2 linked regions of the Drosophila melanogaster genome follow. The protein of the gene in region 1 purifies or fractionates together with the protein of each later gene. This does not show direct contact. Each region holds a gene or a part of one and is shown on either strand. Other genes may lie near its edges. The genes, in order: Nup62 and Tdh.

Region 1 (4,217 bases):
CTGGCGTGCTCCAGAATTGCTCCATGCGGCACAAGGGCGTTCTTTGGTTCTGTGAAACCATTCTACTACTCCTACGACTTGCTGGAAGCCAAGGAATCGAAGCTAAAGCTGCCGGGCGCAATGGAATTTATGCACCGCTTTGAGGTGTCTCCATGTGGCAAATTTATCGTCACTGCTGGCAAGTTTGGAGCCATTCACCTGCTCACGGCCAAAACAAATGAGCTGCTGCACAGCTTCAAGCAGGAGGGCAAAGTGAAGGGATTCACATGGTCTAGTGACTCCAAGAGGATCCTCGTCTGCGGTTCCACTTCCAATGTCAGCGTGCTGAACCTGCGCCAGAACCTCATCGAGCACATCTTCATGGACGACGGCTGTATACATGGAGAGTCCATTCAACTGTCTCCCAACCAACGCCTACTGGCCACCGGCAGTCAAGAGGGCGTGGTCAACATCTACGACTACGAGAGCATTTTCGCATCCAAGGCCCCACAACCCGAGAAGCGCTTCATGAACCTACGGACTGCCATCACGGATCTCCAGTTCAATCACTCATCTGAGCTACTGGCGATGTGCTCCAGTGAGGCGCCGAATGCTTTTAAGCTGGCCCATTTCCCCAGCGCCACTGTGTACTCCAATTTCCCGGCACAGAACGAGAAGGTTGGCTTTGTGACCTCCATGGCCTTTTCGCCGCACAGCAGCTTCCTGGCCTTTGCCACTAAGGGCAAACAGGTGCCGCTCTTTAGGCTTAAGTACTTCAAGGGTTATTAATTGAAGGCAGTATGATGTTTACAATAAATTCTTAAATAAAATCATTACTCTTTCTGTGGTTACAATGGAACCATCTTTATTTAAGTTAACAAATTAAGGGGACTTATCTTTAGAAAGGAGCTCGGAAAATATCGCGTTTCTGGGAGTCTTGAATCTTGCCAATGTCTTCCAGCTTCTTGCTGATGTTCGTCGACTGCGATTCGATCCACTGCAACGAATTCATATGGGCATTAAGGATTTTTCCGATCTGTATGATGGGATCAGTGGTGTCCTGGCCCTTGTTGGCCTCGTTCAAGTTGTCTATTATCTCCTTTAGATCCTCGGACATCTGCTTCAGTTGTGTGTCCAGATTCTCCACCATCAGGTAGGTTTGGCTGCGTTCCATGTCCACCCTCGGGAGATTAACGAATTCCTTCTCAAGCGGTCCCAGGCTGTCCTCAAGCTCTTTTTGCTGCGTGGCTATAAACTCCAGCTCCTGGTCCAGCACTTGCTGATCGGTTTTCACTTTTTTCACGGCATCGTTGAGCTCGACGATCTTCCCGTTGTTGCTGATGAGCAGTTTGTCCCATGCGTTGATCTGAGTGGCCTGTTCGGTGAATACCTTTTCCTGTTCCTCGAACTCGAGAGTCCACTTGTTGATATGCTCCTCAAGTTGGTGGTAGGACAATTGGGATGCCGTGGAAACGGCCGATGAGTCTGTGGTCTTGGTTTCGGTAGTGAGATTGGCAAAAGCACCACCAGTACTTAAAGTTGGGGCCGGTGCAGCTCCCTGCGTGGAGGCTATGGCCGACGGAGCTGCAGTCAGAGTTGTGGACGCAGCGGCCGTGGTCTTGGGAGCTCCCAATCCAGACCCGCCCAGCAATCCAGTTGTGGTAGCTGCGGTGTTGGGTGCACTGGTTGCTATAGTTGGCACCACAGATGCCGCTGGTTGAGCCGTAAAGCCTCCGAAGGCGGGAGGAGCAGCAGAGGTTCCAGTCGCGGTCGCAGAAGTGGTGGACGCTGGATTTGCGGCGGCTTGAGTGCCCAGCGTGAGGGGAGCTGAAGCAGTCCCGGATCCCAGGCCAAATCCAAAGGCTGGTGGAGCCTGCGCCTTGCTGTTGTCTGCATCTCCGCCACCGATACCAGCAGTAGGTGCCGGTGTTCCGAAAGAGAATGTGGTTTTTGTGGCGGGAGCCGTGGTTGCTGCTCCTGAAGCTGGTGCTGCGGCTGGTGTTCCTGTGCTGAGGCCGAAGGAAAACGACGATGTTGCGCCTCCGGTCGGGGCGGCGGTTGTTGTTGGCAACTGGAATACCATGCTTAAACTTAAGACGAATAATATAAATCTAAATCAAACGAAACACGCCAAAAGCAACCAGTGTGACCCCTCCTTGGAGTTCCGCAATGTTGTCGGTGTTGGAAATCAACTAAATTTGAGCTCAAGCTAGCTATTTTCAAGCCAAAACACTTAGCAGTTTGAAGATTGGGCGGCAAAATTAAATTTTAAATTTCTTTGAATTGGCAATACAAATGAAGTACTTTGCTCAGTCGACGATACATTTTTGTTACTAAAACATGCTGAAAACCAAAACATTTATATTATTTTAACGTTTGCAATCACTTTTTGCACTTTTAAAATATATTTATGTCTGTGTCCGTTTTTTTAACCAGCGATCAACTAACTTGCGAAATCGACAAACAACACTGGTCGAGAGCTATGTTTTAGCTCCAGTTTTAGTCGTACATGGAACAAATCATTCCGCGCAACTTAAATAAAAAAACCAACTCAGAAAGAAAACGTAGTCAATCGTACAAACAAAATCAATAACAAAACACCGGCTTTAATTAGTCATCTTTTGCTATCTGTAAGTGCAAAGGCGATAAGGTAACATTTGGGTCAAAAGAATTCAATTACAAGCCCAAAGTGCAGCGGCACTCAGTTCAGTAATTGCATTTTGCTAAATCAGCTAAACACATGTGTGCTTCCTATCAGAAGGTTCGTTCTGCGTACCTGTGTAGGTTCTCTTCAGAGCTGCCAGCCACAAAATTAGAAAAATTACCTAAGGTACAAACGTAATGCGGTACAACAATTAGAGCTTGTCTTTGACCTTCGGTTTTTTTTTTTTTTGTAATAAGATTCTTTTTAAGATTTTCATAAGATCTGAGATCTGATCCTCAAAAACAGAAATTTTAAATTATTCTTAAAAACCAGATCAAAATTTTCTAATAAAAGACCATAGTTCCTATGTTTTGTTAGTACATGTTTTCCCATCACTAGTACCGTGCTCTAGTCTACTATGCTTCCAACTATTTCCCCAACTTTGTTGACCAGTGTAGCTGGCAAGCAGCGCCAGAATTGAACAACAAAAGCATATCAGAATCAAAAGCCCCTGTTCTCGGTCTCTCCTCGATTTTCTCTATTTGCTCCCTGTGATCGCTGTGAACTTGGCGTGATAAGGGGCTCCGGCTCCTCCTGCAATCGAGAAAGCCCGCTGTTTGCGCCACCCGGCGAACACCAATCAGTCGATGGGAGTACTCCGCTGCAATAGCAATTAGCCACTAACCTTCTGTCAGCTCTTCAGGTGCCATTCCCCTACCTCCAGCTCCTCAGGTGCCCCTGCCAAACAGAGTTATCTGGAGTGCCGCCCGCTGGAGAATATAAATTCCCTGGGTGCCCAAAGGCCAGGATTCAGTCGGTGCCACTAGCTCGCCATGTACGGAACGTGGGGCGTCTTTCTGGGCGGGATTCTTCTGCTGCAGGTTCTGCAATTATCCATGGGCCTCGATAATGGCCTGGCACTAAAGTGAGTATTAAATTTTGATTGGATTCTAGGCCACTTAATTGAAATTCTGTCGATTTTAGGCCACCTATGGGCTGGATGTCCTGGGAGCGGTAAGAAATATTTACCAGCAACTAGATTAGATCATAAAGAATTATCATTACGTCTAACATTTAAAATAAATAAACTTTAATAGTTAGTAAAAATTAGGCCTTGGCATGAACTCTACACGCTACGCTGCAATAACGCTTTTGTTTATTTCATTGCTGATATAACTAACACTACTGATATAACTATAGTCTATTTAAAGATTCTCTGAATTTTTGATTACCCATGTCTTACTTACAGATTCCGTTGCATCACCGACTGTAAACTGTATCCGGATGAGTGCATCAGGTTAATACCCAAACCCAACTCAGATCCTCAAATGTTCCTTTACTTCTTGTTCATTTCACCTGTTTCAGTGAAAAACTTTTCCAAAGACATGCGGATCTCCTGGTTTCTGAAGGATATGCGGATGCTGGCTACGAGTACGTCATCATAGATGACTGCTGGCTGGAGAAGAATCGCGACAACGATACCCAGAAGCTGGTTCCGGACAGAAAGCGCTTTCCCAACGGCCTAAATGCTTTATCCGATCATGTAATTTCTAATATATAACTCTAGCCCTCAAGGCTGCCAAACTAACACGAA
Region 2 (5,385 bases), on another chromosome or scaffold:
AATTTATTTCTAAGGTATACTTTACCATTAGTTCAAATCGTTATCAACATATGCTTTAGGTATATTGATGACTTAGTAGCTTAAGACCGCGGTGAGTGCTTATATCTTTTGTATCAATTTTTACACTCACATATATTTGCAATAAACTTAACAGCTACCACCGATCTTTATATAAATTCTGTTATACTTAAATTTTTTTTATATACTTTATTTTTTCTATTTTATTCGAAGTTTAAGTTAATGAAGTCAGCCAACTTTTAAAGAGCACTTTGTGGAAGATCCAAACAGCAAACGCGAAAGGCCAAGTTAGTGACCCAAATTGATAGACAAATCTCCAATCTGCTCGTTTACAGAATCCGCAGAGCAACGAGTGCCGTCCCCGCAGCAAAAGTCAAGAAAATCTAATAATTCTATTGGGAAAATCAAATTAAAGTCCATAGGCAGCGAAGCCGAAGCGGACTTGTATATAGCCACACACGGCGGCAGTCTGCACCACTTTTGTGGGCTCGGCGGATCGGAGCTAGAGGAGTCTGATATATGATAAAGTAACTCCGAGCAAGAATTGTACATCCTAGCCTAAGTTGTAATATAAGCTGTCGCAAACTAAAGGTGCTTACCAATAGTATTTGAGTTCGAATAAACCAAAAGCTATCGTGCGAAACTCACATCAATAATCGAAAGTATTTCCATGTGCTGAAGAACTTTAAGATCACAATTCTTCAAGATGAAATGAACCAATAGTTTTCCTTTCCAATAAATGCCTTACTGTATTTTAAAAGGTAAAATGTTACAGTGGTTTGTGTTGCTATTCACTAGATAAATGCAGTGTTAAATGCGATTGGATTTCATTACTTAGCAATACTAGATGCGGTTGTTCGATCCACGTCTTAGATCTGCAGAGTCTGCTGCTCCGGCTGAACATTAATGTAGTTATCCTGCACGTCCTTGATCATGAAGTCCACCAGGTTGGACAGGTCGTACTTGTGCTGCCAGTGCCAGTCGCGCCGCGCATCGGAGTCATCGAATACCTGCGGCCAGGCGTCTGCGATCAACTGGCGGCTATCTGGCTTGTAGGTCACGTGCAGATTGGGCACGTGCTTGCCCAGCTGGGCGAACAGCTCCTCGGGAGTGAAGGACATGGCGGTCACGTTGTAGACGCGGCGCTTCAGCTGTTCGTTGGGAGCACGCATGAACTCGAGGAGAGCCCTAGTTAGATGGGTCATTAGTAACAAAGAAATAGTTTGTTACAATGCACTTATTACTCACCGCAAACAATCTTCAATGTACATCATGGGCAGTCTTGTGTCAGGACGCAGGTAGCAGGTGTACTTTCCATTGCGCAGCGCTTCATGGAACACGGCCACAGCGTAATCTAAAAGTTGAAACAAATAACAAATGTGAAATGTTAAAGCAGGACTTGTTTTTGGTACATTATAAATTTGTATAAAGCTGCAGAAATGATTCGATTCACGGTGCGTATACGTGATTTCATAAGAATGCAATGGCATTAAAACAAATTAGCTTTCCCCAAAGTGTAATAAGCATTATTATTCCATTCATGAGTGAAAGCAATGCAGAGTAGTTGAGACTTAGACAATCTTTAAGTTAATCAGTTCAATCAAAGATAAGTTAATATGGGTCACCAGGTTTGCGGCTCCCCAACAAAACCCTCTGCATTTTGTACGAATTATGGCCATTGTCATGCTCTTTGATTATCATAAACTATCTTCAATTGGAGCATTTATGATACGAAATTGGATTAAATAAAGCTTGAAGTGCGCTCGACGACATGACTTCAGCGGGAAGAGTATCTCGCAGATATTTCCACGCAGATTGATGTGCTTGAGTCTCCACAGAAATGTACGGTGCTTAAATACCTGTGGTGCCGCCGCCCGGCGGATCACTGGAAATCACTCCTGGGAAGCGCAGGCATCTGAAGTCCAGTCCAAACTTGTGGTAGTAGTATTCGCCAATCAGCTCGGCGTGCACCTTGGAAACGCCGTAAATGGTGCGCGGCCGTTGGATCTGCGGAAATGGGTCCTCAGTATCGAACAAACTTCTGGCTTTGAAAGTGGTGGACCTACCGTAACATTCGGCGTGGGATTGCGAGGACTGTCGGGACCGAAGGCTCCGATTGTGCTTGGTACGAAGATGCGGAGCTTATACTGCTTCGCCAGCTCGATGACGTTGTGGACACCCTCGATGTTGACCCTGCGATGGAGGATTCATATTACTTACGATTAAAATGGCACAAGAGTCATTATGCAATAGTTACGTGGGAGTAGTTACTTGACTTTAGTTACTTGGAAAGGAATGTAGGATAGGGTTTGCTATAATGATTGCAACTAGAGATAACTAAGATATCCTACCTCACAGCCAGTGGAACATTTTGCTCTCCCACCGCACTCAGCAGGGCCGAGAAATGGATCAGCCAGTCAATGCGATGGTCCACAACGATCTTCTGGAGACCCTTGAAGTCCAGGATGTCGGCAAAAATGTAGGGACCATTCTCCAGTACCGACTGACTGGGCTTTATAATGTCCGAGAGGATCACGTTTTGGCTGCCATACTGCGTCCGCAGGAGTTTGGCGCACTCGATGCCCAACTGGCCCAAGCCACCTGAAAGAAATCAAAACGATTGTTGCACTCAGATTTTATTGAAAGTGAATCTACAATACATATTGTAGCATTCTTTCAGGCTTCACACTTAACGGGCCAGCATTTTGAGAAATAAAACGTGTATAAACGAATTAAAATAGGAAAATTAGTTTTTCCATGCACAGGTATAGGGAATTTACATATAATATTTGGAGCTAAAATCACCAGATTACCATTTCTTTCTTTATATATCCTAGTTATATAGAATAGATTGTTTAATGTATCTAGTGCTTCGCAGCACTTAGATCTTACACTAAAGTAAAAAAGTTATCATTTCAATATTATATTATATTCTTGCTGTTCTATTTGCTGACACCATCACTATAACTATAACTTGTAAGTTCACAAGGGATGTAAAACTTCCAAAAATGTCAAAAAATATTCAAAAGCATGTATAAACTGTGGGATGTCTTTCAGTTAAACGTGTCCACTATATGCTAAAATATGATAAATTTGTTCCGATCGGCCTTGGACGCGGTTAAATTTAGCAGATCCACGTGGCGCGGCAACTGACCTGTGATCAGAATTTTGGGTGGCCTACTCTCGCGAGGAACCTGGTGGAACGCGCGACGCTGGACAAGCTGGCTGGCGATCGGGGTGATCCTGGGCAGCGGAATGGGACTGGCAACTGGGGCCAAAGCCAGGCTGGCGAGGCATTTGCGAAACATTTTGCGAACTGGACTTTTTCGATTCGCGACGAGCGCTGCCAGCGAGCTGCGATTTTGAACTGATTTCGAAATTTGCGAAATGTTTTCCACCAGTCCCTCAACATTAGCGCCTTGTTTCCGCTATATACATATGTACATACATATATATATCGCCTGAGCACTCGGATCCCGTCGGCTCCAATCGTCTCGTCTGGTCGCTTAGTTACTTAGTCAATTGGGTTAGTGAGTGTCAGTTGGCAGCCAGTCAAATTCATTATGAGATCAGGAATGGGTATGGGTATGGCTATGGAAGTGGGACTTGTCGCCATGGCGCACCGATTTTGTTTGGGGCCCCGGCAAGATTCAATAAAAACGAAAGCAAATTATATGGAGGAGGCCCGCCAATTGACAACAACAACTCAGTTGGGTGGCTTTCCTTTTCTGCGGCGGGGCATGTCTAAATCTGTGCAAATACATCATATATGTACATATGTCTCGGTTGACGGGCGGTTATGTAATCTACAGGGTGCTCTTTAGCTGGGTTCTCGGACAGGCCCCTCTTTTCTAGGGGGCCAATCCATGCGGTGTGTGTGTGCGACCACTCGAATTCTCTTTACCCATCAATCGAACTGCTATAACATAAAGCCACTCTAACCCAAGGAAGTCTTTCTAGTAGGTAATAGTTTAAAACAGAACTTCATAGATTACTCGAACTAAATTAGAAGAAGTAATTACTTGTTAAGCACTCCAGCAAACGAATCGTAGAACTTGATCAACCAAAACAGTGTTAACTAGTCCCAACATACCATGTATTGTCTATCCTAAAACCTAACATCACACCATTCAGAAAGAACATCGTCCGATCTTAATGATAAACGATCCCTTCATGTGCCGCAAATCGAATTAACCTTGGATGGAATCCAGTGCAAATTTCAGTTTCGCTGACAGTGAACTGAAATCCCTGGGCGGGTGTCAGTCCGAATTTGAATAGAACACGTGGAGTGTCCAGATAGTAAAGTGCAATGAATCCGGCAATCGACGAGATGACCGACTAGTTTCCGTAGTGGTCTTATCGTCTGGTAGCAGTGGGGTGCAAACATGGCCCTGACAACTGCATGACGCATATAGATGGATTGGATTGGGGAGAATTTCGTAAATATTATGCTTATAGAATTAAAAATATTATTATATTATTGTGCCTGACAGGAGAAAAACAATAACAGCTGAAAATTTCACTTTTCTTCTTGCATGTTGTGCACCTATTCCGCAATATTTTATGTCTAAGCATTATCTTTTCTGTTTTTTTTTGAGAAACAAACTTGACAGTCTAGAAAATCTTGTCAAAATACAGTGTGCAATAAACACAACAAACGTAATACATGCTGCTTTTTCTGTTTTTTCTTGCTTTTAGGGTAATTTAAAACATAATTAATATAAAAAAATATAATATATAATATAATATAAAATATAACAATTATGCTACTTCTAACAGCCTTGCTTGGGATACAATGTCATTAGGAGCGAAGCGTACGATGCTCACAATGATCACCGTAGGACTTGGGTAGTTCCAGAGCTAATCGAATCGGATGAACTCTCCCACGATGCTGAAGAGTACGCAATTGTATGAATCGTCGTACGCTACTTCATTTGCACAGATAAACTGAAAACTGATCATACACAGCATCTGGCTACTTTAAATATTCCAGATCAAATATTATACGAGACAGCTAAAGATAGAAACATTCGAGTGGATCACTTGGACTATCCCTTATCGGAGCCGGAAAATGATTTCTATACGGAGAATATTTGCGAATTTATAAGAAATGAGTGTGTTTATTACTGGGCTAGTGAAGGGGCGGCATCCTATGGCATAGCAAAGGAGCGAAGGACGAAAGTCGAACAATCATTGGCTGACAAATTCTCGGCCATCACGTGGAAATCAACGACAGAAATGGGTGTTGGATGGGCGCCAAAAGATCGATCGTAAGTAAAGTGTGCATTTTTCGCGTCACTGGCAATAAAAAAAATACATGTTTCAGGAAAAAGGGCGGACGAAAGATATTGGTAGTGAGGTACAGTC

Evidence for each region.
Region 2: the proteins of Nup62 (region 1) and Tdh purify together in Drosophila melanogaster (affinity purification with mass spectrometry, with the first as the bait; one large-scale study listed by BioGRID). This does not show direct contact.

The regions. Positions count from the first base shown.
Region 1 is NT_033778.4:16,342,426-16,346,642, reverse strand, and holds Nup62 (nucleoporin 62kD), read right to left. Parts: upstream 2,267-4,217; 5' UTR 2,063-2,266; coding exon 878-2,062; 3' UTR 815-877; downstream 1-814. Other genes in the region: wcd (wicked), read left to right, coding at 1-768; CG7997 (uncharacterized protein), read left to right, coding at 3,457-3,548, 3,608-3,637, 3,873-3,920, 3,989-4,166. UniProt on the Drosophila melanogaster protein: Essential component of the nuclear pore complex. The N-terminal is probably involved in nucleocytoplasmic transport.
Region 2 is NT_037436.4:20,464,953-20,470,337, reverse strand, and holds Tdh (L-threonine dehydrogenase), read right to left. Parts: upstream 3,395-5,385; 5' UTR 3,327-3,394; coding exon 3,173-3,326; intron 2,620-3,172; coding exon 2,370-2,619; intron 2,212-2,369; coding exon 2,085-2,211; intron 2,026-2,084; coding exon 1,878-2,025; intron 1,373-1,877; coding exon 1,267-1,372; intron 1,207-1,266; coding exon 888-1,206; 3' UTR 746-887; downstream 1-745. Other genes in the region: CG32428 (uncharacterized protein), read left to right, coding at 354-541; CG42764 (uncharacterized protein), read left to right, coding at 4,685-4,717, 4,798-4,926, 4,987-5,288, 5,345-5,385.